Linked DNA regions of Tamandua tetradactyla. Each later gene encodes a partner of the first gene's protein in a complex. Links are inferred from orthologs where the notes say so. Each region holds a gene or a part of one and is shown in the gene's direction. Other genes may lie near its edges. The genes, in order: NEDD4L, AMOT and YWHAH.

The links.
Region 2: the proteins of NEDD4L (region 1) and AMOT are in contact, whole or in part, in a crystal structure (PDB 7LP3), measured with the Homo sapiens proteins. The link is inferred for Tamandua tetradactyla from reciprocal best matches to the Homo sapiens genes NEDD4L and AMOT. Residues at the interface, in NP_001138439.1 of Homo sapiens: Lys202, Asp204, Leu206, Arg208, Tyr210, Val212, Asn213, His214, Arg217, Thr218, Thr219, Gln220, Trp221; in NP_001106962.1 of Homo sapiens: His235, Arg236, Gly237, Pro238, Pro239, Pro240, Glu241, Tyr242, Pro243, Phe244, Met247.
Region 3: the proteins of NEDD4L (region 1) and YWHAH are in contact, whole or in part, in a crystal structure (PDB 7NMZ), measured with the Homo sapiens proteins. The link is inferred for Tamandua tetradactyla from reciprocal best matches to the Homo sapiens genes NEDD4L and YWHAH. Residues at the interface, in NP_001138439.1 of Homo sapiens: Pro444, Arg445, Ser446, Leu447, Ser448, Ser449, Pro450, Thr451, Val452, Thr453, Leu454, Ser455; in NP_003396.1 of Homo sapiens: Arg12, Glu15, Asn39, Asn43, Leu44, Ser46, Val47, Lys50, Arg57, Lys125, Arg132, Tyr133, Gly174, Leu177, Asn178, Val181, Tyr184, Glu185, Leu221, Leu225, Asp228, Asn229, Leu232, Trp233.

What each region holds. Positions count from the first base shown.
Region 1 is NC_135344.1:24,077,779-24,085,940, reverse strand, and holds the start of NEDD4L (E3 ubiquitin-protein ligase NEDD4-like), read left to right. Parts: upstream 1-4,786; 5' UTR 4,787-5,366; coding exon 5,367-6,548; intron 6,549-8,162. UniProt on the Homo sapiens protein: E3 ubiquitin-protein ligase that mediates the polyubiquitination of lysine and cysteine residues on target proteins and is thereby implicated in the regulation of various signaling pathways including autophagy, innate immunity or DNA repair.
Region 2 is NC_135353.1:56,980,221-56,987,947, forward strand, and holds the start of AMOT (angiomotin), read left to right. Parts: upstream 1-4,562; 5' UTR 4,563-5,112; intron 5,113-7,727.
Region 3 is NC_135331.1:30,699,697-30,707,052, reverse strand, and holds the start of YWHAH (14-3-3 protein eta), read left to right. Parts: upstream 1-3,927; 5' UTR 3,928-4,048; coding exon 4,049-4,135; intron 4,136-4,463; exon of another isoform or gene 4,464-7,356. UniProt on the Homo sapiens protein: Adapter protein implicated in the regulation of a large spectrum of both general and specialized signaling pathways. Binds to a large number of partners, usually by recognition of a phosphoserine or phosphothreonine motif.

The sequences.
Region 1 (8,162 bases):
GAAATATTAAACTGCTTAGCTAATTAATTGGAAAGATTTCTCTTTAAAATGAAAAGATATTTCAAATGTCTATGTAACTGTGATATTAAGACTTGCTTTACCTCTAGAAATGCTCCAGAATAGGTCTTCTGAACAGTGCAGATTCCCACAGAGCAGTATTGCCATTCAGTCCATTTAAGATTGGCCCTGACTTTTTTCTTTCAATCATAATAATATTTTATGTGCTCAGACTTGGATTATTCTACACATCTGTTTTGTATTAGGTTCAGAGCTAATGAAAAATGGCACTGATATTTTATTTTTATTTATTTAATTTTATTACATTTTTTATGCTTTTTTTCTCTTTGGCACTGATATTTTAATACTTGGTGAACTCCTACGTACAGTCTCTACAAGATGTATTTTAAATTACTCTGTGAAAGACCGAAAAGCTAATGGGGGAGATAGATGTCTTTGGACCTTAGTTAACTCTCAAATGTAGCTTTCCATTCGTAAAACCCCAAATTATTTACACACCTTTTTGTTTGACACTGCACTCACATTTATTTAAATTTTAGTACATCTGAATTTTTTTTCAGCTAATCTTGGGTATTAAAAAAAAGGTTTTGTTTTATTCATTCCTCAAATGTTTCTTGAGGACCTCTGTTGTCCTCCGGCCGGTGGAGGCACTCACCGGCCAGCAGCACCACCTTCACAGGGTTATAAGTGGATGCGGGACAGCCTGTCCACCTGCTTGCCCTGTCACTAGGTTAAGGCAGCCTCGGGGACCCAAGCACACGCAGGCTGTGACTCAGATGTGCTGCATTGCGTTTCCCCAGGAAGCAGCTGAAACCTGGTAACGGAACACCTGGGCGGCGTCTCCAGCACTGCCCTTCACAGCCTTAGTAACTTAGGAAAGAACTATCTCAGTTCTTTTTTTTTAAAATAAACATGTATGTATATAACATGAGATTTATTATGGGAATTGGCTCCCATGACAATAGGAATCAGCAAGTCCACATTCCATAGGATGGGCCCCAAATTGGGAACTCCAGGTAGGTTTCAGTGAATTCCCCAGGAGAGGCTGACTGGCTGGGGTAGAGAGAGACATTCTTTCTCCTCTCTTGGTTCTTCCTCTCTCGCACAGGAGAGACCATGCTTACTCCATCGGTGTTTCCAGGATTTCCGTGGGATGGTGTAAATGAGAATACCTGGCACCATGCCTCATCTGTGGTTGGTGCTTGGTCAGTTATACTGGGGTCCAAATGGTGATAAGGGTCACTTGGCTGAGGCTTTGGTAAGGCAAAGGGAGAAACAAAAAGCCATGGGAAGCCCAGTAGCGACGATGGTGGCCCTGTGTTACTGAAAGTGGGAATATCTTTTTTCCCTTTGTTTCTTTGTCTGGGCTCTCTCTGAAAACAAGCAGGTGAGACTTGGTTCAGCTCCTGGTTTGTCTGCCTGCAGGCAGTGGGATCTGCTTCCCTCTCATGGGCCCAGGACCATGTGATAGTTACACATCCTGGGATTGTGAGGATTAGATGAGATAAAGTACCTTTGATATGTCACAAGGCAGTAGTGCCTAAGAAGCACACAATAAGCTACTGCTACTATTTTTTTTTTCATTATTTTTATTGTCATCACTATAATTATTGTTCTTAGGCCTTAGAGATTTCTGTGTAGACTTTTGTGAGGGAGTGGCCTTGGTCCACAGGTGTGGGGATGCCTTTTGCACAGGAATTTTAGGAACTCTTTAAAGCTCTTCGGGATTACCCCTTCTTAGGTTGGTTAGAAGAACAACCTGGAGCCTTTTCTTCTGATGTGCCTAAATATTAGGGGCAGAAAAGTATAGACAGGAACAATGGAAAATTTGATTTAGTAGACATGGGATTCCAGAAGAGTATTCCCATTACACAATTGAACTGAAGCATTTTCAAATATCATTCTATTACTATCCCTTATTTCATCTTTGGAATGATTTTTATTCATCTTTGAAATACTGTTTATGTCCCTCATAGGTAAATCCATCTAATCACAGACTCCTGTTTGAAGTATTTGACGAAAACAGATTGGTAAGTGACTTACTGCTTTTGTATTTTGCTTAAGTTTTTAAAAGCTGAATTTTGAGCGTTACATCTTTGAGACTGTATTTATGTTGCACTTACGAAAGTATATATGCCCAAACAGAAGATTATTTTTGCCCCACCTTTGTTTAAAGTTCATAATTCCAACAAATATTTTCTTATTGCTAGGGTAGAAAGTTTATGTGTTTTTATCACAGTAAGTATTAATGAAAGTCTTCAGTGCTGGCATCAGGCCATTTTTTGTGCTGAAATGTGGGGACACCAGAAGAGTACAGGGATCTGAAAAGAGGCCATCTGTACCTGTAAGCAAACCATTCAGGGTTTTAAAATTCAGGCCAAAATGTAACACTGTAACCTATTCAAGAGGTTCTAAGGTGGGTCTCTTTGGAGAAACAAAAATCCAATTAACAGTGTAGAGCAAAAAAGTGAATCTGTATTTAGCAGAAAAATTTAAACTGTATTTTAAAACATGGTACTGTCTCAAGGGAGACTCTTAGAAAGTATTTTTAAAGAACCAAAGATATTTCTGAAGCATATAACCAATATACATTAACATTTTGGAATAGAAATTTTAGAAAGCAAATTTGGCTTAAGGTAAGATTTTAAGGAAAGTTTTGTTTTCTTTAACTACAATATACACATCAGATTCCCATGAGCCAAGTGTTTTGATGGTAAAACTGAGCATTGTCCTGAGAGTATTTTTTACTCTCAGAAGTGGTGTTATAACGCAGGTCCATCAGTATACCTTCCCTGAAACTTATGTGTCTTATCTGGTTAGGGGAATGTTCGTATAAGCCTTCCTTTTGGCAGAATTTAACTGAAACACCAGATTTTTGAGTGGCTTTATTTTAATGAAATATTTGGTCTGGAGCAGTGTTATAAAACAACTTGCTCGACTCCCTGTCGTTGCAGGTGAGACAGCTGAGGTCTGGAGCTTTACACCATTTAAACTGGGCGGTCAGTGAAACTAGTAGTGGTCGCACTGAGGCTGAGCCTGCTGGTTGCCCATTTCTCAGCCCAGGGGTGGTGAAGAGCCAGGCCTTTCACCTTCGTTAGGGTGTGTTTGATCTTCTTTCTGCACGTGATAATATTCTCCAAAGTAGACACATTCCGACCTGCCATTCTGATATCTTTCCTTTAAAAATATGTGTGGATTCCTTGGTGGATTTGCATTGAATTCAATACTTAGTACCTTGGGTGATATTTAATAGTACTGAGGAACTAAATCACTTCCCATTCTTGTTAAATTGAGTAGGAGAGTGTGCTGGGCCTCTTTCTTAGACCTCCGACTGTCCAAGTCAGTGAAGACTTTGAGTCAGTGCTCAGGGGAACAAAAATAAGTCACAGGAGATGTAGATTCACCCAAAGACTAATCCTTACTCTCAGGTTTATTCGGTACAGTAACACTTCTTCAAGGTGAAGAAAGAGTCAAATTTCAGGAAAAATTGCTTCTTTTCAGATGTTTTAATCCATTATTCAGATTTCTTCTATAAAAAAATTATTTCCCATTTCTATTATCTAAAATAATGTGGTTGGTGAGCTGACCTTGTCATGAGTTCTAAACTATACTTCCAAACCAAAAAGGGCTTTGAGTACAAATCTTTAAGAAATCCTGTGTAAGCACAAGCTTTATCTGAAAATTTGTATTTTACAATATTTAACACCTAACTCTTCCCTAAGCCGTCTACAGTGCTGTTACTATGCAATGAGTGCTGGTGGGGGGTGTGTGTGTGTCTTTGTTGGCTGTTAATCCATTTAAGACAATACGTGACTGTCCTGATACTTGGCAGTTTCAACATTAAACAAACTGGCTTCCATTTCTCTCCTAAAGGTCATTTTTGGCATTTAAAACACATATCTTTAGCAATCAGGTTTGGACGTGTGTAAATATGGGGTTAATCATCCACACCCTTGCCTCCAGAACTGTTGACAAAGTCATGCTTTGCAGATTTTAAAATAAACGTTTTGTCACTCGTTGCAGCTTGGTATTCTGCCCCTCCTAAATAAACCTCTTTGTTAAATAACCCACTTACTGGATTACGGAAAACAGTAAGTTTGAAACACATAGAGCATTTCCAAGTTAACTACAAAGTCTGTGACAGTTTTTTGAATGTCCACTTTTACTTTTAGTTCTTATGTCCCTTTTAGCCCTTTGCAAACATAGCAAAATTCTGTATTAGTATTGCAACTCTGGTAATATTGCTAATTCTAACTCTTCTGGAAGGCATTCGGCTCCAGGCATCATTTCTTCTATATGGTATTTAACTTAAATTAAAACAAAAGCTGCATGCACACTTCTCTTTAGTCTCCCCCCCCCCCCCCCTTTTTATTTTTGGTTTTCTCTCTCTCAATTGGGAGGCAGTGTTTTCTCCAGCTGGGTTTCCTTTTCTCTGGTGCTGCCGTGCTGACCATCTTATAGGTAAGATAAGCACACATATCTTTTAAATGAAAAATGTTAGTGTAGAAGCAGAGGGGGCCATGCCAACTGCCAGTGCTGGAAGTCATGCCCCTCCTCCTGTAGATGGGTCATGGTCTAATTATTTAGTGTTAAAGGGACACTAATTCAGTGGGTGTGTAATCTTATTTATAGTATGTTTTGTTTTATGTTCCATCATATTAACATGATGATATTATAAATAACAGAGAAATTTAACATCCAATATTTGTGCGTTTTCTTGCTTCGCCTGATTTTTTTTCATGTTTTTTTTACAGGGAGGTTTGGTGGGAGATGGTGGGGGTGGAGTGGGGACGACCACATATGAGCTTGTGTGTTTAATGCCAGGTCCCTCGCATTCGCTGGAGAAAGTCTGAGTGCTCTGCTTAGTTGAAAAGAAACGTCCTGTGAATGTGATGTGGTTCAGATTTATAGCCTCGTGGCTCAGACTGTGTTTGCTGCCTTAGTCAGCTGCGAGAGCTCCCTGCTGGGGCCACTCCTTTCTGATGGAAAAGCAGCAGCTGGGAAGGTGCTGTTTCAGGCTCTTGTTTAAAAAAAATCATAGCGAGAAGGGGGAAAACTCCACTAAGTCCACAAGCTGGCATTGGAGGGCGAGAAGGCCGTCATGTGGTTGCAGCCACCCTACCCTCTGTCACAGCGCCGATGAGAGCTTTTTGCTCTTATCCAATCCTGCCTGGAATGCCGCTGGCCACTTGGGTTATTTCTGCTATCTGCCGCTATTGGTTCTGCGGTGCTAACAGTTTGGCAGATGGGACACTTTTTCTTGGAGTTGATGTCTCTGGTTTTTGACGTCTGGCAGTGCTGGGGTTGTGGCTGCTGCTCTCCCTCTCCCTCCCTGCCCCCCGTTCACCATGGCCCATCGGCTTCGGTTTCATTTTGGCTCTGGTCGGAGCAACACAGCCCCCGAATCAGAGATCCTAGACCAGGAGAGAGACGATGACTTCTTCATGGCATTCCACACTCTACCACGGAGAAGCAGCCCCCACCCGTTCTCCCAAAATGGAGGGGAGTGTGGTGGTGGCCTGGGAGAAGGAGTGGGATCGCTCAAGCGGAGTACGTCCATGTTTATCCCTCAGCTGCCGAATAGTATCGATGCACGTCCAACCAGGAGCTCGTCCGTCCAGATCTCCCTGCAGCGCAAAGCTGTGAACGGACACACCGACGACTGCGTGCCGCCGGACTCACTTGAGGGCGGGCTTCTGTGCACACTTTCGGACTTCAGGGAGGATTTTACCACCCCAGTGAGAAGATCGTCTCAAAGCAGCTCCCAGGAAACCTCAGAGAGAGAGACCCCGGAGAGTTCTCCTCCAAGGATATCCAGGGACTCTGAACAACAGGTCAATGGAACTGGTCCTTGTGGCCACCGAGTGCTCTGTGCAGTTCCTGCAGAGCTCCAAGAGGATGCCATGCCCTCAGCCACCCCAGGGGTGGAAGGCAGTGGAGCTCCTGCAGGGCTGAACCTTGGTGGGGTCAGGATCCAGCACCGTGCTTCCAGTGCAGACACGCGCCAGGTGAGGCTGATGCCGTTGGGGTCCGAAGGACAGAGCAGCCCCTCTGTACCTGAGCCGAGGCGCTGGTCCCTGCAGCACGTTCCAGATGTTTCTGGTAGTCCTGGGAAGCGGTGCTTTGTGTTCCAGTTGCAGCAGTCCCAGCAGGGTGGTCTGGGTCTGGGTGGTGACTGCAACTTTGGTTTCACTGGCACGAAGGGCAATCGGTTGGTGAGGTACCCTCGTATTCGGCTGGAGAGGAGCACGTCATACCCCACCCAGCCCCGAACTGAACGAGTGAGCCCCACAGATGACCAGGGGCGTTCCGAGATGTCTCGCGGCAGCAGGATGACTCCAGAAATCCACAGGACGAATTCCATAGAGAGGACTCCACAGGGTCAAGGGTGTATGTTTAAGATCAGGCAAGATCAAAATGCAGGGCAACAGCATTTCAGAATTCTTGTAACTCGGGGGCCAGAAGAAACTCTCCAGAATCCTGAGGAGGATAATGCCAAAAGTCCTGGCTTGACAGTAGCAAGCGCCACGGTAAGTGAGCTGTGTTTACATGGGAGAGTAGGTCAGCAGGGGCTGATTCATACCCAGAAAGCTTATTCCGCAGTGTAATTAAAATAAACTTCGTCCTCAGCTTGGGGAGTTCCCCACCTTGGTCCACTGTAGCTTAATGGCTGGCTGCATTCCGTGACGATGATTTGTGCTCCATTGGTTGGTAGAGATCCATGAAACCAGTGAGCATTTCAGAAAATCTTGTTTGTGTACGCCTTCAAAGTCAAGAGCTCTGTTTTGAAAATTCAAACAAAACACCCTTTTTTTTTTTTCCTTCCGGATAAAAAAATTTTAAGAATTTATTACTTTGAATTCATCTGCCAAAACGCAAGCCAGTGCCTCAACATGTTCATGTTGGAAACACATTTTAAAAGTTGCTTGCCAAGATAGCCTAGGACAACATGTCCTTTACAAATAGTTCTAATAAAGGTAGTGGATATAGCACAATACTTGGGTTTAGTCTCCTAATTAAAATAGTGTGCTCAAAGTTTGGGTCTTCCTAAAGGACTTTTTGTTTTGCAGGGGCAGGGTGGGGGTAGTGGTGTTAGTTTTTCTTATGTAATTCATTTTCTTTGTTTCTGGTCCCATGAAGTAATGCTAAACAAGGGTAGTCGCACTTGTTGGACAGTGAGAAGTGTGTTTTTGAAGTAGGTGGACTTATGAACCCAGGAAAAGGCGAACGGTGATAGGGCCCCGTTAATGACCTGGTTGCATGCCTGTGGAACTTAACTCTGCCCACTTGAGTCTCTAAGCCAGGGATGCTGTATATAGATTAGTAAGTGCCCTGTCTCCAGCTGTGGAAACAGACTCCCTAGACAGATTTTGGACTTTCCTACTTGTGTGTTCTTATTCTCTTCCTTTCAGTGAAATGGAGTACCGAAAGATAGCTGCTGACTCCAGGCATGTGATGACTTTGCACTTGTGTAGTTTATAGTGAGATGGAAAGTTTAAATCAGGTTTCTTTTACTAGGAGTCACTAGCCATTGAGTGCTTTCTTAAAGAACAAGCTCTTTGTATATTGAATTGAATCTTTACCCCTGAATGTCATGTGATTATCAGTCTGAAGATATGATTATGAAATATCTAGGGGACTTTCTTTTCTGCTTGGATTTCTCTTGTGAATTGCCAGTTTTCAAAGTGGGTGGCTGTTATTCTAGAATTGTATCATCTTTCACTGCTTTGTGTTCAGAAATGTTTTTTTGCCATTCGAGTGAACTTTATCACAGCTCCATCATTGCTTTCAACTGTTTCACATTATAATCAGGTGCTAAATGTAAATATTATATTTTTCTTGGTTTACACAATTGTTTTTCCTTTTTTTCTTTTTCCTTCCATAAGCCTCTTTCTTTTATTATATCTAACCCTTTGTTAGGAAATGGCTGAGTGCTTTGCCTTGGTTTGAACCAATATCTTTTATTATGCAATGGTGCAAATTTCAGTAGCATTTTCATTCTGTGGTAGTCTTTAACCCCTGCCCCAATAAAGTATCATCATGACAACTGTAGGTTTCATTGGGCAGAATAATCCCAGGCTGAACTTTGAGAACATACCACATAAAGATGGATAAAATGCATTTCTTTAAAAGCTTATAACATT
Region 2 (7,727 bases), on another chromosome or scaffold:
TGAAGGAGATATGGTATTTAGTAAAGCAAAAGTGAAGTCCTGCATAAATCATAAAGAAGTGAATCCAGGTTACTCAAACAGGACCCTTGGAGTTACTTTGGGAATAGGCTTCCAGGCAGCTTTATTTTTCTATGGCCAATTTACTTCCAAAATGTTGGAGCCTGCAAGTACCCCAGGAGTAACTTGGCTCCAAAATGCTGGAACAGGTCTTGGCCTTGGAGTACAGTTCTGGTGTTGTTTCCTGAATTTCCACATTGCTGGTTTCCACACATGGATCATGCTTCAAACTTCCTGTGTCTGGACCAAGTGTGTGTATGGTGTGTATGTATGTGTGTGTGTGTTTATGTATTGGGAAAGAATGGAAGAGGGGAGGAAAGGTATTCAAAAGAAAAGCATTTAGCTGCATTCTTACATTATATATGTGTCTCTGTTCTTTTCCTGTTCAAATGAAACTGCAATTTTCGGATCTGCTGGATTTTGCATTTGCAGAGCAGGTGTCATAAATAAACAGGCGACTTTTTCAATGTGTGTCTAACATATATGAACAGCATTTTCGTGGGGGCGGGGGGGGGTGTTATGTTAAGACATACATCCTGAGAATTTTCGCTAATGAATGTACTTGCCTTTGTTTTTTTTTTTTCTTTTTTTTTCAGATGCATCTAAATGATTTAGTTGTTCACCAGGCAATTAGAGAAAAATTGCTCATTCTACACTACACTCCCAGTAGGCTTGGTAGGTGGGGGAGAGTGTCAATCAGCTAAATCTTATGATTTTGCCTTAAAGAAGAACGTAGCCAGAGGTTGGGACTATAAGCTGTGTTCTCCTTCCTACTTTTCCTGTACATTGGGCAAAAATATTGCCAACAAAGTGCATATGTTGATTTTTATTGCACTTTAAAGACAAGTTGCTTTTTAAGGGGGAAAAAGCCAAATAGGGCACGTAGTTTCAGGTGGAGACTCTTGATTTATAGCTTAAAAGATCTTCCTTTTTTCCATATCAATATATGGAGATTTTAATGTGCAACACTTAGGAAACCCAGTATCTTTACACAGGTGCTTCAAAGTCAGTGGCTAATTCTCCTGGTATTCCCCAGCGGGTTTTTCCATATTTTATAGTCAGGATTTGAAGTCAGGGGATGCCTTGGGGATTAGTCAAATGTGTGTGGCATGGTTTGCTATATAAACTCACTCCCTGAAACTAGTTTTCTCTCCCTTCTCTCAACTTCCACAGCTTTTACTGTCAATACCATTCATTTAGCACTTAGCATACGCCTGTTAGTTATCTTTTCATGTATATATCCTTGAAGGCAGGAGCCAAGTCTCATACTTCTTTGTTTTTCCAGTCTTGTCCATAATAGCAGCTCAATCAATGTTTGTTGATGTTGGCCTCCCACCTCCGCCCCCCAACCCCCACTTTAAGCAGTGCAAGCAATGCATGGCTTTAAATTCAAACAGTTTAAACAAACTGAAGGGTTTTCAGGGTAAAAACAAAGAGAAAGTCCTGTGTGGCAAGACAGAAGGAACACCTAAGATGCTTGAAAGACCTGGGTAAATCAGAGGTACCAATAAACCTGCTTTTTGCCACAGGCTAAGAGGTGACTCATACATGGCCTGATTCCCCATTAAGCTCAGAGCTCTGCTAATTATATTCCATCAAAAAATTAAAAGTTGTAGAAGAACAGTAATGCCCATGGCAGGATTGGAGGAGGGGGTGTGGAAGTAGTTAGGTGTTTGAGGGGTTCCAACCTTATGAAGGCCCTGGTAGCTGTGGAGAAGACAGATTGGACAATCTTTTGAGGACAATGTCAAGACTCTTGCCAGGCATATTAAAACACAGCTGCCAGATCCATGCTACCAAGAATTTTTTTTCTGGCATCATCTGCAATGACAAAAGATGGGAAAGACCTAAATTACAACTCAACAGGGGGCTGATTAAAGTAATTTTGGTATATCTATGCAATGGATTACTGAACTAATCATGAAAAATAATTAGATAGAAGTAATTGTCCTAATATGAAAAGATATTTAAGATACATACTTGAGTAAAGAAGGGCAAGGTGTGTTCACATATGTACCCATGTTGCATGGATATGCAAATAATATATTTTGAAGATTACATACCGTTATAGAGTGTAAGGGGACTCTGGAACTGGAGTAATAAAGAGGCAACTTTTCACCGTACTTCTTTCAGTTTGTTTGATTTTAATTTTACCATGTACATATTTTACCTTCTGCATTTTAACAGCAATGTTAATTTTAACAAGTAGCATATTACAATTCTGATCAGTGGTAGTTCTCCAGCATATACGCACTCTTCATAGCTCTCCTGCCCATGCCTCCAAATAACAAGGCTGGAATAATATTCCCTTGATTCATAAAACCAGGTTTCTCCATGTCTTTAATGCACAAAAATTCATCTTCCCCATGAAAAATCACCTAAATAACCTCGCCTCATATGTAAATTGAAGCAATCATACCCATACTCTTATTTCTGAATCTTTTGGCAGCCCCTAGCAGAGTACTCTGTATACCGAGGCCACTCAATGCTTTTGATGATGTGCTACCTGCCCATAACTTTTCCCGCAACCAGAATTATATTGAGATTCTGTTCACAGTGAGATAATGCTTCCTTTAAACACACTTCCTATTGCATGGCCTTGATCTATGTCTCCTAAGAAGACTCCTATTAGCCAAACTTGAATTGGATGTAACTCTTTCATTTGCATGAGTTCATTATACTAGCTCTCCATTGTCAAAGCCTTTACTTTTAGACTTGCTTCCTACTTGTTACATTTTCTAGCAAATATAGATCTGTACAGAATGTGGTTTCCATGGTAAATGTTCTCTCATATTTGTTTTCTCAAGTTCGCTTCAGAGATACACAGCATGATTTCCTCTTTCAGTACGAGCACCACATTAGATTTAGGTCGTGGCGCCACTGCAGAACTGTTTAAAAAAGAAATCTCACCCACACTTGTTAGAAAAAGGGAAACTTATTATTCTAATTGCAGGGAGCCAACCCATACCCACCTCCAGAACTTTAGGAAGAGTCGTTTTTTAAAACAAAGCCACAAATCCTACATACCTTGGACATAAATGCTTTAAAAACATGAGCAGAATATTTGTTTTCCAAACACGTGAGACTCTGCCACATACCTTTGTGGAGTGCTTGGTAGTCTACAGATTTTTCACACTCATTTCATTTTATTTTCATACCAATACCATTAAGTTAATAGAGCATATTTTATAGACTTTATTTACAAGATGGGAAAATTAAGACTCAGAGAAGCTAAGCGCCTTAAGAAAAGTCGTACAACTAGCTAATAATCGCCGGAGACCGAAATGATTATTACGTTGGTTCCAAAACCCATATTCCTCTGTCACCCTTATGCTGTTCTTTTATGCTTTATTTTCCCAGCTGTAAAATGGGAGACTTTCAAGTGTCCCAGCCTGCTATTCTCAATTGCCCGTGTTTTTAAGCAATACCATCGTTTTTGCAGCCAGAAAATGTGAACATATTGATACTTCGCGTACTTTTTCCTCCTTCTCGCCTAATGAATTGAGGGAGGAAAGTTATCTATTCCGAGGAATGAACAGTGAGTGCCACAGAGGTGTACCCGAATCAGTCGACACACTGTCGCACTCTTACCAGACTGAGAAATCAAGCGTCTCATCTTTCTCTTCCCAGCAGTAGCTGGGGGAGATTAGCGAGCAAGACAATAGGTTCTTGTCTAGTTTTATTAATTTTGAGGATGGGTGGGGCAAAAGAATTCGATTGACGGCTCCAGTAACCAATAGGAGGCGTACCTTAGGCCAGGACTCCCCAACTGCAAACTGCAAAAGAATCGTCGGGTGGGATTTACTCTTCCGGGACGCTCCGCCCAGGCCAGCCTTCACAGCCCGCCCAAGAGGCGGAGGCTCCACGGCGCCCCACCTACCCCACCCCGGCTGCCTGCGCAGCTTGCCATGGAGAGCCAGGCAGAGACGCGAATGGGAGGAGGAAGGGGAAGGCTAAGAGAAACAGAGGAAGAAAGGAGGGTGTCTCATAGAGCTGTGACCTGGGTGGGGGACTGTGGTAATAGGAAGCAAGAGGGGAAGGAAATCGGAGGAGCGCTGCGCCTTCCTTTATTATTTTAAGCAGGCTCTGATAGAAGTCGCTTTTCAGCATTTCTATTTGTTTTTCTTCCTCCCGCTGTGGGGCGGGGAGCTGCACTGGCTCTCCCACGCGACTCTGCTCCGCTGTTACCGTAGATTACTGTAGTCTTTACAGAACCCCTTCCTTCCTCCCAGCCACTCCTTGTGTAGACTTTTGGGCTACCGGAACCGAGTCGTGCTATGTTAGTAAGAGGGCGAGAACGAGGGCACCGGCTTTTGCCGGAGGTTCTGGACACCGCCGTTCAATTGTTTCAAACTTCCCCGCCCCCTGCCCCGCCTCCCTTCTGCGCCCCCTCCCCCGCCCCGAGGTCCAGGCAGACTCCCGCCCTTCTTTCCCCGCCCTCTACTCCGCCTCCCTCCTAAGTCTACCCCCACCCTCCGCTCCTGGGCGGTCCTAGCCGCTTACTGCAAGAAGAAAAGCCACCCATTCGTCCCACTCCTCTACCTCCCATCCTTTGCCCGGGAGCTGCCTTCATAGCAGTCACGCCCCTTCCTTCCGAAGAGCTTTCTGGCTGCCCAAGCTGGTAGACCCCCTGAATTATTCCTCCATCCCCGCTCTCTTTCGTCTCCTCTTCTAGTTCTACCCCCACCCCCACTTCGAGTCTCTGTCGCCTCCGACCATCCGCTGCTCCACCCTCCGGCCCGGTATCCTGTCTGTCCATTGCCACCAAGGAACGCACGGACGGAGTGACGAGAAGGGGAGCAGCCAGGAGTTGGGGATTCCTCCCCCTGCCCATCCTTGGCCGTCGGCCAGGGCCAAAGCCATCTATCTGAGTGAGCTGAGAGCCGACACCTTGTCTTCGTTGCCTTCGGGGGTAGGAGACGTGTGGTTACTTTTCACGGGGAGCTGGGGCAGGAATTCATGGTGGCATGAACTTGGTCCTGCCCTCGGCGTGAGTAAGTCTGTCTAGATGCGTGTGGAGATGCCCGTTCGTTCTACTTTTCTTTGCAGTTGTCGGTGAGTTTTCCGGAATGTGCTACAAGTTAAATCACTTCAAGAGTGTGCGTTCCTTTTCGGGCCCTCCTTTGGTGAGGAGATGCTAGTGGGTACCACTACTTAATGGTAGTTTTAACCCCGTTGCCTCCTGGGGTCCTTGTAGGTCTCTAGGTAATTAATCATGCGAGAAACTAAAGACAGGAGATCTCCATTTAGCCCAGCACTATTGTCCGCACTTAAATCAATTGATGCAGGTTTCCTAAGTGCTTAGGGTAGGGTTTGGGGCTCTTACACTCCCCTCTTCCAGGGTGCCATAAATTTTGAAGTTTTAAAGTCTGGGAGTAATCTACCACGATACACTTTGGTGTACATGTGCATTTGCGTAGGGGGTGGGGTGTCAGAGGTTGCTACTTATCTAGTTTGTAAGGTCCAAAGATGTTAGTAACTAGTTTTGCGGGACCGTGCAGATATCTGTAGGGTCCCAAACCCGAGCCACTCTGCGTTGGTGCTTCAATAGTAATACGGATTTCGTCAATAGGTGAAAATAAAGAGTAGGAAAAGTGGGAGGGAAAGCGGCAGTCTTTGTAGATTGTGAGCAGTTCTTCGTAAATTATCACTAATGATATAATGATAATTTGCAGCAAGGGAGTAGATGCAATTAAATGTGTGAGGAAAGGGAAAGTTAGTGAGAAAAAGCATTTCCAATCTCTATTATATTATGAATCTAAAAAAATAATTTTCCAACAACCCAGGGGATTTCTTTCCCCTCCCACCCCACTTTCTCCAAGAAGGATGGAAGTTGGGGAGCAACTTTTATGAATTTAACCCTTTTCTAACATCAGAGAGGAAGATGATTAGTGACCATAATCTTCAATGGTGGAGAGCTAAGGGTATTTAAGTCTCCTTGAGCTAGGCTTTGTGAAAAGTTCTTTCTCATGCCAGTCTTTGTGAAACCTTCTCAGTTAGACCTCTCAGCACCCTCATTTAGTAACTAAGCATAGTTTGAAATACCATTTTAGACATGAGGTACAGCTCCCCCAATCTCCCATCTATTACCAGTTTGGCAAGGGTAGCAAACTTATAAGAATGGTTGTGTTCAAAGACCTATTATGAGCGATCCCTGATCCATTACTTATTTGGATACAAATTACTTACGCTTTTAAATAATTTCTTTGCTTGATTTTAATGGTGGGAAGGAAAGCAGGGAAGGAAAGAAGAAACATTACAAGGCAACAATTTTAAAGGATATCATGTTTCAGATCAGCTGGGAGGGAAGAGCTGGCTTGACCAAACTACATTTTATAACTGGCCTGGGACATTTTAATAGCCAGGTGGCTGTAGAGTAGTTGCATCTATTTACAGATGATAACTCAGATTCCAGCTATTCTGTATGGGTTTATCCGGTGTCATTTACAGACATTTTCTGGCAATGCATCAGGCTTCATTTTAAGATGCCTCTTTCTTTGGAGAAGTTCGTGGCTCTCTTTGGAAAAGTTTGTGGCTCTGTAAAATTGAAAATACTTTTCCTAACTTCATAGTTTAGATATGAAGTAAACTTCTGACCACAGTGTGTATGTAATAGCTTTCATGCAAAAATTGTGGGTCTGTTTACCTATTTAAAAGACTTGAGAAAAGCGAATTTTTTCTTCATATTAATGCTGATTTGGATTTGGAAACTAAAATCTCATTTCTGGTTTATAAAGTAGGGTATATTAGACTAATACATAATCAAAGAGTTTTGTGGAATTGCTTTTCTGGAGTTGAGTAAAGAATAAATCAGACTCCTTCTAGAATGCTTTGAGAAAAGTCTAATCAGAAGGCAGAGGGATGGAAGCTATGACCTTGAGGTCCCACTGAGTGCCAGAATTCTAAGTGGGTACATCTGCTTCTGGGGCTCTCACAAGAACCCTCTCCCAGGGCCTGTGCCTTCTTTAAAAGGGTGTCTTTGTAATTAAGCAACCCTTCTACCCCACCTCCCCCCCTTTCTTCCTTTGATCCAGCTTTATAAGCCTTTTTTTCCTATTTGGAGACAAGAGGAGTTTCTCACACTCTCCTGCTTCCCCTCTTGAGTTTTTTTCCTATCCCCCCCCCCCCCCGCACACACAAAATGTCCCCTGAAGTTCTCAGGATGATTGGAAGTTATTTTGTTTTGTTTTGGAAATGGGTGCCAATGAGGAAGAGTAAAGGATATATTCCTTCTTGGGAGAAGCTTGTGGCCAGGTAGCTTCCTCCATGGAGACTGAAGTTTTGGAATGTATGAGAACAGCCTATTCTTAGGGACTGTCTGGAAGAAATTGTCCTTTGCACCATTAAGCCTAGCTTAAACCCACTGAAAGGGGTAGAAAAAGGTGTATGTGATTGTGTCTGAGCCTTTTTGGATGGTAAATGGAAGAAAGTTCTCAAATCTATTATTATATCACCTCTTTTCCCCATGGACCCAGTGAATTTGGAGATCCGTTTGACAAGTTAATTAGCTTGGGACTAAATCAATTTGTTTAGAATTGTGCTCCATTGATGTTCTGTCTCTAAGCATTTTTGTTGGTAGTTTATTATGATGTGTTGTCTTCAGTCTTACTTCTTCATTCCTTGCTGTCTTTTGTGGACTTTGGTCCAAAATCTAAGGTCCCACCCCCAAG
Region 3 (7,356 bases), on another chromosome or scaffold:
ATCTGTGTGCTCAGGCTCATCTTGGATACGGGGGTGGAATTTGGTATCAGCAAAAGGACACTAGGGCCAAAGCGAATGAACAGAAAGCGAGTGTGAGCTGGGGAGACCATGGGTGGCTGCCTGGACCACAGAGCAAGTCTGATTCCTCTAGTTCTTAATTTCCTCATCCATATAATAGTTGCTGCTCATGCCATTATTATCGTTGGCTCAGGATTAGAAAGTTCACTTTGGTGCGTTTGGGGAAAAAAAAAATTAAAATCCTATCTGGGTACCCGACTCCCTGGGCGATGGCATCCAGGCCAAGGGTATGAACACCTGCCTCTCCACAACAACACAAGGTCTTCTTTGTAATATGTTCCTTGGTATCCAGACTTCTGAGGGAACTCAGAGTGTCCCAGAGTACCCGAGGGTGTAAAAAAAAAAACCCACAAAAAAAACAGGACGTGCCTTTTCTGGGTCACCTATTCACAGGTCTCCGGCTGAGGGTTCTGGCAATGCTTCAGAAAACAAGTCCTACATGAGAAGCATCTTTATCACTGACTCAGGAGCAAGGGATTATTATACGGCAGTGATGGCGGGTGCTTTCATGTGCTGGCATTATGCCACCGATCCCACAATAACCCCAAGAGATAAGTGTGGTTAGCGCGAGTATGCAAGAGAGAAAACAGACTCAGAGAGGGCTGGTAACTGGTGGGGTAGGATTTGAATCCAAGTCCAGAACTAGCTTCTTTCTACCCTCCTCCCCCCTCACACACATACTTTCTTAGCCAGCCGGGGGATAGCGGAGGCATTGCTCTGTTCCCGGAAAAAGCCCCTGTCCCAGGCAAAGCTCCAGCCTGGCCCCTACCCTGGGCCTGCTTCGGGCCCTGGAACAACATGGTGTTGGATATTGTCAGCCCCCTTCACTTCACTCATGGACTGTCTTTGGAGCTGGTCAAATGCTTGTTTATTGATCAGGCTTGGAGCCCTGGCAGTAGGTGCTCCATCCAGGGCACACCCCACTGGTCTTTGATTTATAAGGCTTTGGGGGAGCTGGCAGCTCTCTTCCCTGAGGGGGAAGATGCTGGTAAGATGCAGGCTACAAGAAGGAGGCTTATGTGTGCTTTTCATAATCCAAATGACTCCAAAAGGGGAGTCATACCTTGAGCCCTTTTTGGCTAACACCAAAAGGCAGTGTGGGGCCATCAGGCTTAGGAGTCTGATGGACTTGAATTTGAATCCTGGCTCTGTTGATTACCAGCTGGGCGACTTTCTTCAAGTCAGGGAACATCTCTGAGCCAGTTTCCTCATCTGTAAAATGGGGGTGGAAATTGCCTTTTACTTCAAGGGTATCTTGAAGTAAAAAAAATATGCCCATCTCTGCAAAACCCCTTACCTGATGCTAGGAACATGGTAAATCTTCCTTTCCTTTCAAGAGTGGGGTTGGACAAGGTCACCCAGAATGGGCAGAATGGAAAGAGGAGAGGGCCTGGGACGAAGCCTTGAGGAACCCCTGCATTTCACGGTGGGCCTAGAAGACAAACTCACACAGGAAACAGAAAAGGAGTGGCCAGAACAGTTGAGGAGAAACCAGGAGAGTGCAGGGTCATGAAAGCTAAGAGGTGAGTGTTCGAAGGAGGGGTGAGCCGTTGTGGGTCAGGAAAGTGAAGACTCCAAAGCATCCTTGGATTTGGCAACAAGGAGGCCATTGGTGGTCTCAGCGAGGGTCATCTGGGTGGAGAGGGGGTAGAAGCCAGAGTACAGTGGGCTGAGGGCTGGGTGGGAGGTGAAGAAGTGAAGACAGAGAAGTTTGGTGAGAAGGAAAGAAAGGCTTTCTGGAAGAACCAAAGTGTAATTTAGGAATGTCAAAATCAACTGTTTAGACTGTTTCAGCTCTACCTATTTCTCATTGTTTTGAAATCACTCTCAGTCCAGCATGATCTGGAAAACAATAGCCTCTAAAGGCTGGAAGGAACCAGAGTTTCACCATACCGTCCTCATCCTGCCCTGGCCCTGCCTCTCAGAGCGCCTTCTCTGCTAGATGGGGTGGAAGATTAATTACGAGCTATCATACTCTTTAAAGATATTCACGAGGGGAAAGAACAGCCTGGTTTGCTAACCTGGATTCCATTTCTAGTCAGCAAAGGTGACTCTTCAAAACACGGGTGAAGCGTGGGGAGTGGCTCTTCCCCAGACCCATACTTAATCCTGCGTTATGGGTGCCAAGCCTCCTTTTAGCACCAGAGGAGGAGGGCTGGGTGGCTGGAGACCTGTGTGGAGGCTCCAGATCTGCTCACTCACAGCACAAACTGGAGCCAGCCTCTCCTTCTGAGACTCAGTTTCTCTTTATGCAGGATAAGGAGTTGGACAGCAGTGACCGTGACATTTCAGAATGAGGATTTCTATGTTTCAGTCCTTTAACAGTCCTTCAAGTCCAATTTTTCAGATGCTAAAACCGAGTTCCAGAAACGGTTCAGTCTTCAGTCCCTCCCTTTCCCTTCTAATGCATGTTACTTTCTGAAGCCAGATTCCTGGCCAGAAACATGACTTCTGTTACCTCTGTAGCTCCGAAGAATCAAGTCTCAAATCTTCAATCTGGCATTTAAAACACTCTATAATCTCACCCTACCCAACCTCATTCCCAATGGCAAGCGTCTCTTTTCACTATCTCTTTTGTCTTTATCCTCTCTGCCAAGTCAAGTCTTTGTCCATACTGTACGCCCCCCCGCCCCAATACCTCTTCCCTCCCTCTCAAGGCCCAGATTACCTATTCTCGCATATTTAGATCTGTGCTGCTTAGCGGCAGGGGTATATATTACTCATTCCTGTAGCTACCCTATCCTCTCAGTGCTAAATATGCAGCAGGTGCTCAACAGAACTTTCAGAAAGCCTAAGGCCTCTTCTTCCGCGCTGCCCTTGCCATATATATTGTACGTGGCCGGCATGCTTTGGTCAGCGAGGTTTTCCCGGCTTGCCTGGAAGCCGCACCGAATGCCATGACTGAAAGGAGCTCAGTGACTGGCCGACCCCTTCCTTGCCTGAGCTTGCACCCTTATCCTGGCCCTATCACTGGACGGCTGTGCAACCTTCAGCAAGTCACTAACTTCACGTTGCCTCAGGCTCCACAACTGAAAAATGGGGAGACCAGCCGCGTCCACAGACAAGGGTGGGTGGTGCGTATTAAATACAATAACGCCTGTAGACGTCCCAGCACTAGGCCAGTTCCCTGCAAGGGCGTCGTGACTGTGAGGCCGGACGCCACCTCTCAGGGTGGGAGCTCAGCTCTGCAGCCCAGGATTGCGCGTGTGTGGTGGTGGCGGTTGTGGTAGTGTGGTAAGGGGGTTCCCAAGGGCGGGGCTCGATACCGCCAGGGTGTGGCCCGTGCAACCCAGGGGCCGGGAGGGACTCCACGCTGCTGCGGCTACGGGGGCGGGGGCGAATCCGCCCCACCCCTCCGGGCGTACGCCCTCCCGGCTTCTCCACGCAGGAGGTTTATTTGCGTTTTGGACCCTCCTCAGGCCAGGCCGCTAACGTGCATTCAGGCGCGCTTTGCAGGATGAGTTTGTGGCAACGCGCCGCCTAGGCAGCCGCCATCACCACACCCAGCCCTCCGGCTCCGCAGTCTCCAACCGGTTCACCCAGCTCCCACCTCCACCTCTGCGGCGGTAAAATGCAGCACTCGCAGGGCGCCTGCGCGGCTCTCGGGCGGGGCCGCGGTGGCGGCTATTTATAGTAGGTGACGTCACCTTGAAATAGACCGTTAGGGCCAGCTCGCCCTTCCCCCCTCCCACTCTCGCCGCTCCCCGCCGCCCGGCCCAGCAGCTCCCACTGCGCAGGCGCCCTCCCATCCTCCCCTCCCCCTCGGCACGCCCGCCTCTCCTCCCTCCGCGGTGTTCGCGACGCGAAGCCACTGCGCGCGGGACTAGCCAGCGAGCGGGCGCGGGCGGCGGCGCGGTCTCAGCCTCCCTCGGCGGCCGGGAGCCAGTGCGCGTGCGCGGCGGCGGCCTCCGCGGCGAACCGAGAGTGGGCGAGCGGTGCGGGACGCGAGGCGAGACCGAGCCGTAGCGACATGGGGGACCGGGAGCAGCTGCTGCAGCGGGCGCGGCTGGCCGAGCAGGCGGAGCGCTACGACGACATGGCCTCCGCCATGAAGGCGGTGAGACGCCGGGGGACCCGCGCGGCCGGCCTGGGGGTCCAAATCGGGGAAGGGATGGGGCAGCCGGCCGGTCGGGGTGTCCCGCTATGCCCCGGGGTGCCCCCTGCGACCCTGCAGGGCGGAGCCGCCCCCAGCAGCCGGTGCTTCCCGCGCGCGCCGGGCGCCCCGCCATTTCCTGCGGCCGGACCCCAGTCGTGTCTCAGGCGGGGGAGCTGCTGGGGGTCGCGAATGCAGCCCCAGGGGCGGGCGCGCGGGCGGCGGAGCCCTCCTGCGGGCGAGTGGGCGGGGGTCGCCGCATCCCGGCTCAGTGGGTGGGGGAGGGGGAACCGGAGGAAATAGGCGGGAGCCACATTCCCCCTTTCTGACCCCTTTCACCGGGACCTGGGGGCTACATGCCGCCTCGCCGCCCTCCGCCCTTCACCTGGGAATAAAGAGTTGCCGAGTGGGTGACGCCCCTCCTCCCCTATTTTTCTCTGTCACGACCTGGAGTCTGTGGTCTTCTTCTCTCCTTTGCTCCGCTCGCCCGAATTGTGCTCGTCCCACCTTCCCACAACCCGGCCCTGGCTTTGTGTGCCGAGACCCTCTTCTCGCAGGGACGCGAGCGGGAGGGCGGCGGGTGGGGTCTAGCCTGGGCTCATACTCCCTAGCCCCGGGTTGATGCTGCCCCTGTCGGACTCGAGATTAAAATGAGACGTGACTTCTGGGCGAGACGAACCTGTGTACCTTTGCTTTCCTGAGACCCTCGCACATGAACTCTGCAACTTGATTTCCGGTGGAGCCGTAGTGCCCAGCCACACCCTAACAGATTCCGTGGATTGGACACCACCTGCGCTGCTGTGCGTCGAGTTCCGCTTCTCCTCTCACTGTCCCTGCCCTCTTCACGTTATTTTATGTTTTCTCTAAATGAACCCTAGTTCTCTCTGCCTCAAGGTCACACAGTGGTGGAGCCGCGGCAGCTGCCACCAACCTGCTCTGTTCATTCAGCCTACAACCTTCCCGAGACCTCGCAGCAGCCCCCTGGGCCCCACCTTCGACCTGAAGACTCCGGGGTGGGACTCAGATGTCTGCATTTTAACCTGTTCTCCTGACAATTTTTAGGGGGCTTAAGTGAGGTTCATCGCCTTGGATCAAAGCTCATTTGTCCTTTGCTGGCCATCTGAAGGGATCTCTCAAAGAAAAACAACAAATCCAGAGGGTCCCTACAATTTCAGTGTCTTTCCAAAAGCTCATTTTAAAGCATTTGATATTATTATGATCTAAAATAGATTCTGGAAACCAGTTTTAGGATTATCCAGGTAAGAAGAATACTTGAAGAGTTCTCTTTCCTGTAGTGGTGGTGCTGGTTACTAATTTAATTAGATTTGTTTGGAAACCAAGACCAACAACCAAATTGTTGATTCATTGGTGATCCTGACCTGAGCAGTGGCATGCTGTAGTGGGTTAGATAGGAGTTTTTCATCCAGAGGAGGGAAGAATGTAAGTTTGGGGCTTGACACTTATGTAATTCGGAGGGAGGGGATGCCTCTTGAAGAAGAAAAAAAATAATTTTGCCAATTTTACAGAAATTGGACTGGCTGTGAGAGCATGTTCCTTGGAAGGGACCAGGAAGCTTAATTATCTTTGGAATAAAACTGATTCTGACCTCATACCCATTCACATTTAAGTGAACCTCTTGGTAACTGAGTGATATTAGCATTATGCAGTCTGAGGCCTTTCTGTGGGATATTTTAGGAAGGCCCTTGCTCACTCCCTGAGTGTCCCTTAAGGGCTACAGTGTCAGGAGTCCTTTGGGGAGTAAAGATGTTGGAAAGAAAGTAGGGATGGGCCTTAAAGGAAGGTGAATTGAAATTCAGGAAAAATGCCCAGAGGGTACATTTTGAAGCTGTAGGAAACCTGAAGTACTGTGGTCTGGAAAGTGAGGAAAGGATGAAGAGGTGTTACCAGAATGAATTTCAGTTTGGGCAGTGAAAAATTGACTTTCTGGTCTTCATAAGCATGTTTGGAAAATGCTTTCTTGCTTCTAGCTGCTATGTCTGCAGATTTTCTCTGAGGCTTTTAAGGTAGTGTTTTGCAAGCGAATGGATCCTTTACTATGCTGGGTACCTATATTATCTGTGTCTGAAATGATTGAACAAGTTACATAGCTTTGAAAATTCAAGTCAAGCACTAATTGTGTCATTGCAGAATTGTTATAAGCCATTTCCTTAAGGTAATTCTTGTTTTAAAAACAACTTTTTGTTAATATGTCCCCACTATTAAAACTTTTTTTTTTGCCACCTATTTATTGGAATGGACTTGTCAGAGGTCTTATGTTTTACTTATTAATTTGGTGTTTGTAGATTGAATTCATCATGAATGTCATTGGGAACGCTTGTCCTCGTCTTATTAATATCATAGACCTTAATTAGAAGCTTTTGCTGAGTCTGAATTCAAGTCACCCTCTGGGTTTATGTGGGTCTCCTCAGGGTGGTGGAAGGGCATAAACAGACTGCTCTAGGGACCTGGAGCCGGGCACCTGAGTGAAGGGATGTTCTGGTGCCATCGCTCTGAACTTGAACCTTACGTCTCTTGGCCTCAGTTTCTCTGAAGTGTAGAAGTAGGAGTGTTGATGTTACCAGTCAGTTTTCAACCGTTAGTCTTCTGACTTATTCTATATCCTGTGTCATTTAAATGGTCACGTAATACTGCCTGTCTGTAATAATTGATGTTCTCTGTGCTACCAGTGTCACCTGAAGGATGGTGTCAGTAAGCTGTAAGAAAAACATCATGCATACTGGAAACAACAGTGTTGCCCCAAATCATTTGAAAACTTGCATTCCCTGCCACACCCCATAATTTGAAGTGCAAGGAATGTTTCTGAATTGAAGTAAAGGAAAATCTTCAAGCTCTCATACTTAGTAGCTTTGTTCTTTTAGGTATAGAGTGTTATAGTGGGAAGAAACTGGAAGATTCTAGAACCCAAATCCTTCCTAGGCCTGACTTTGAATGACTACATACAATTCATAACCTCTATAAAATGTGTATAATAGCATTTTATGAGAACAGTGAAATAAGTCTATACAATGCAGTAAAATGTTAGTCCAGAAGACTAAGTGACTTAAGGAAAGAGGTCAAAAATCAGATTTCTAGTGAACATTCATGGAGAAATATAATCCAGTCACATCTCTTACTGCCCTAAGTCACCTGTTTAATATTAAAACTTATATTAGGGGGTAACTGTG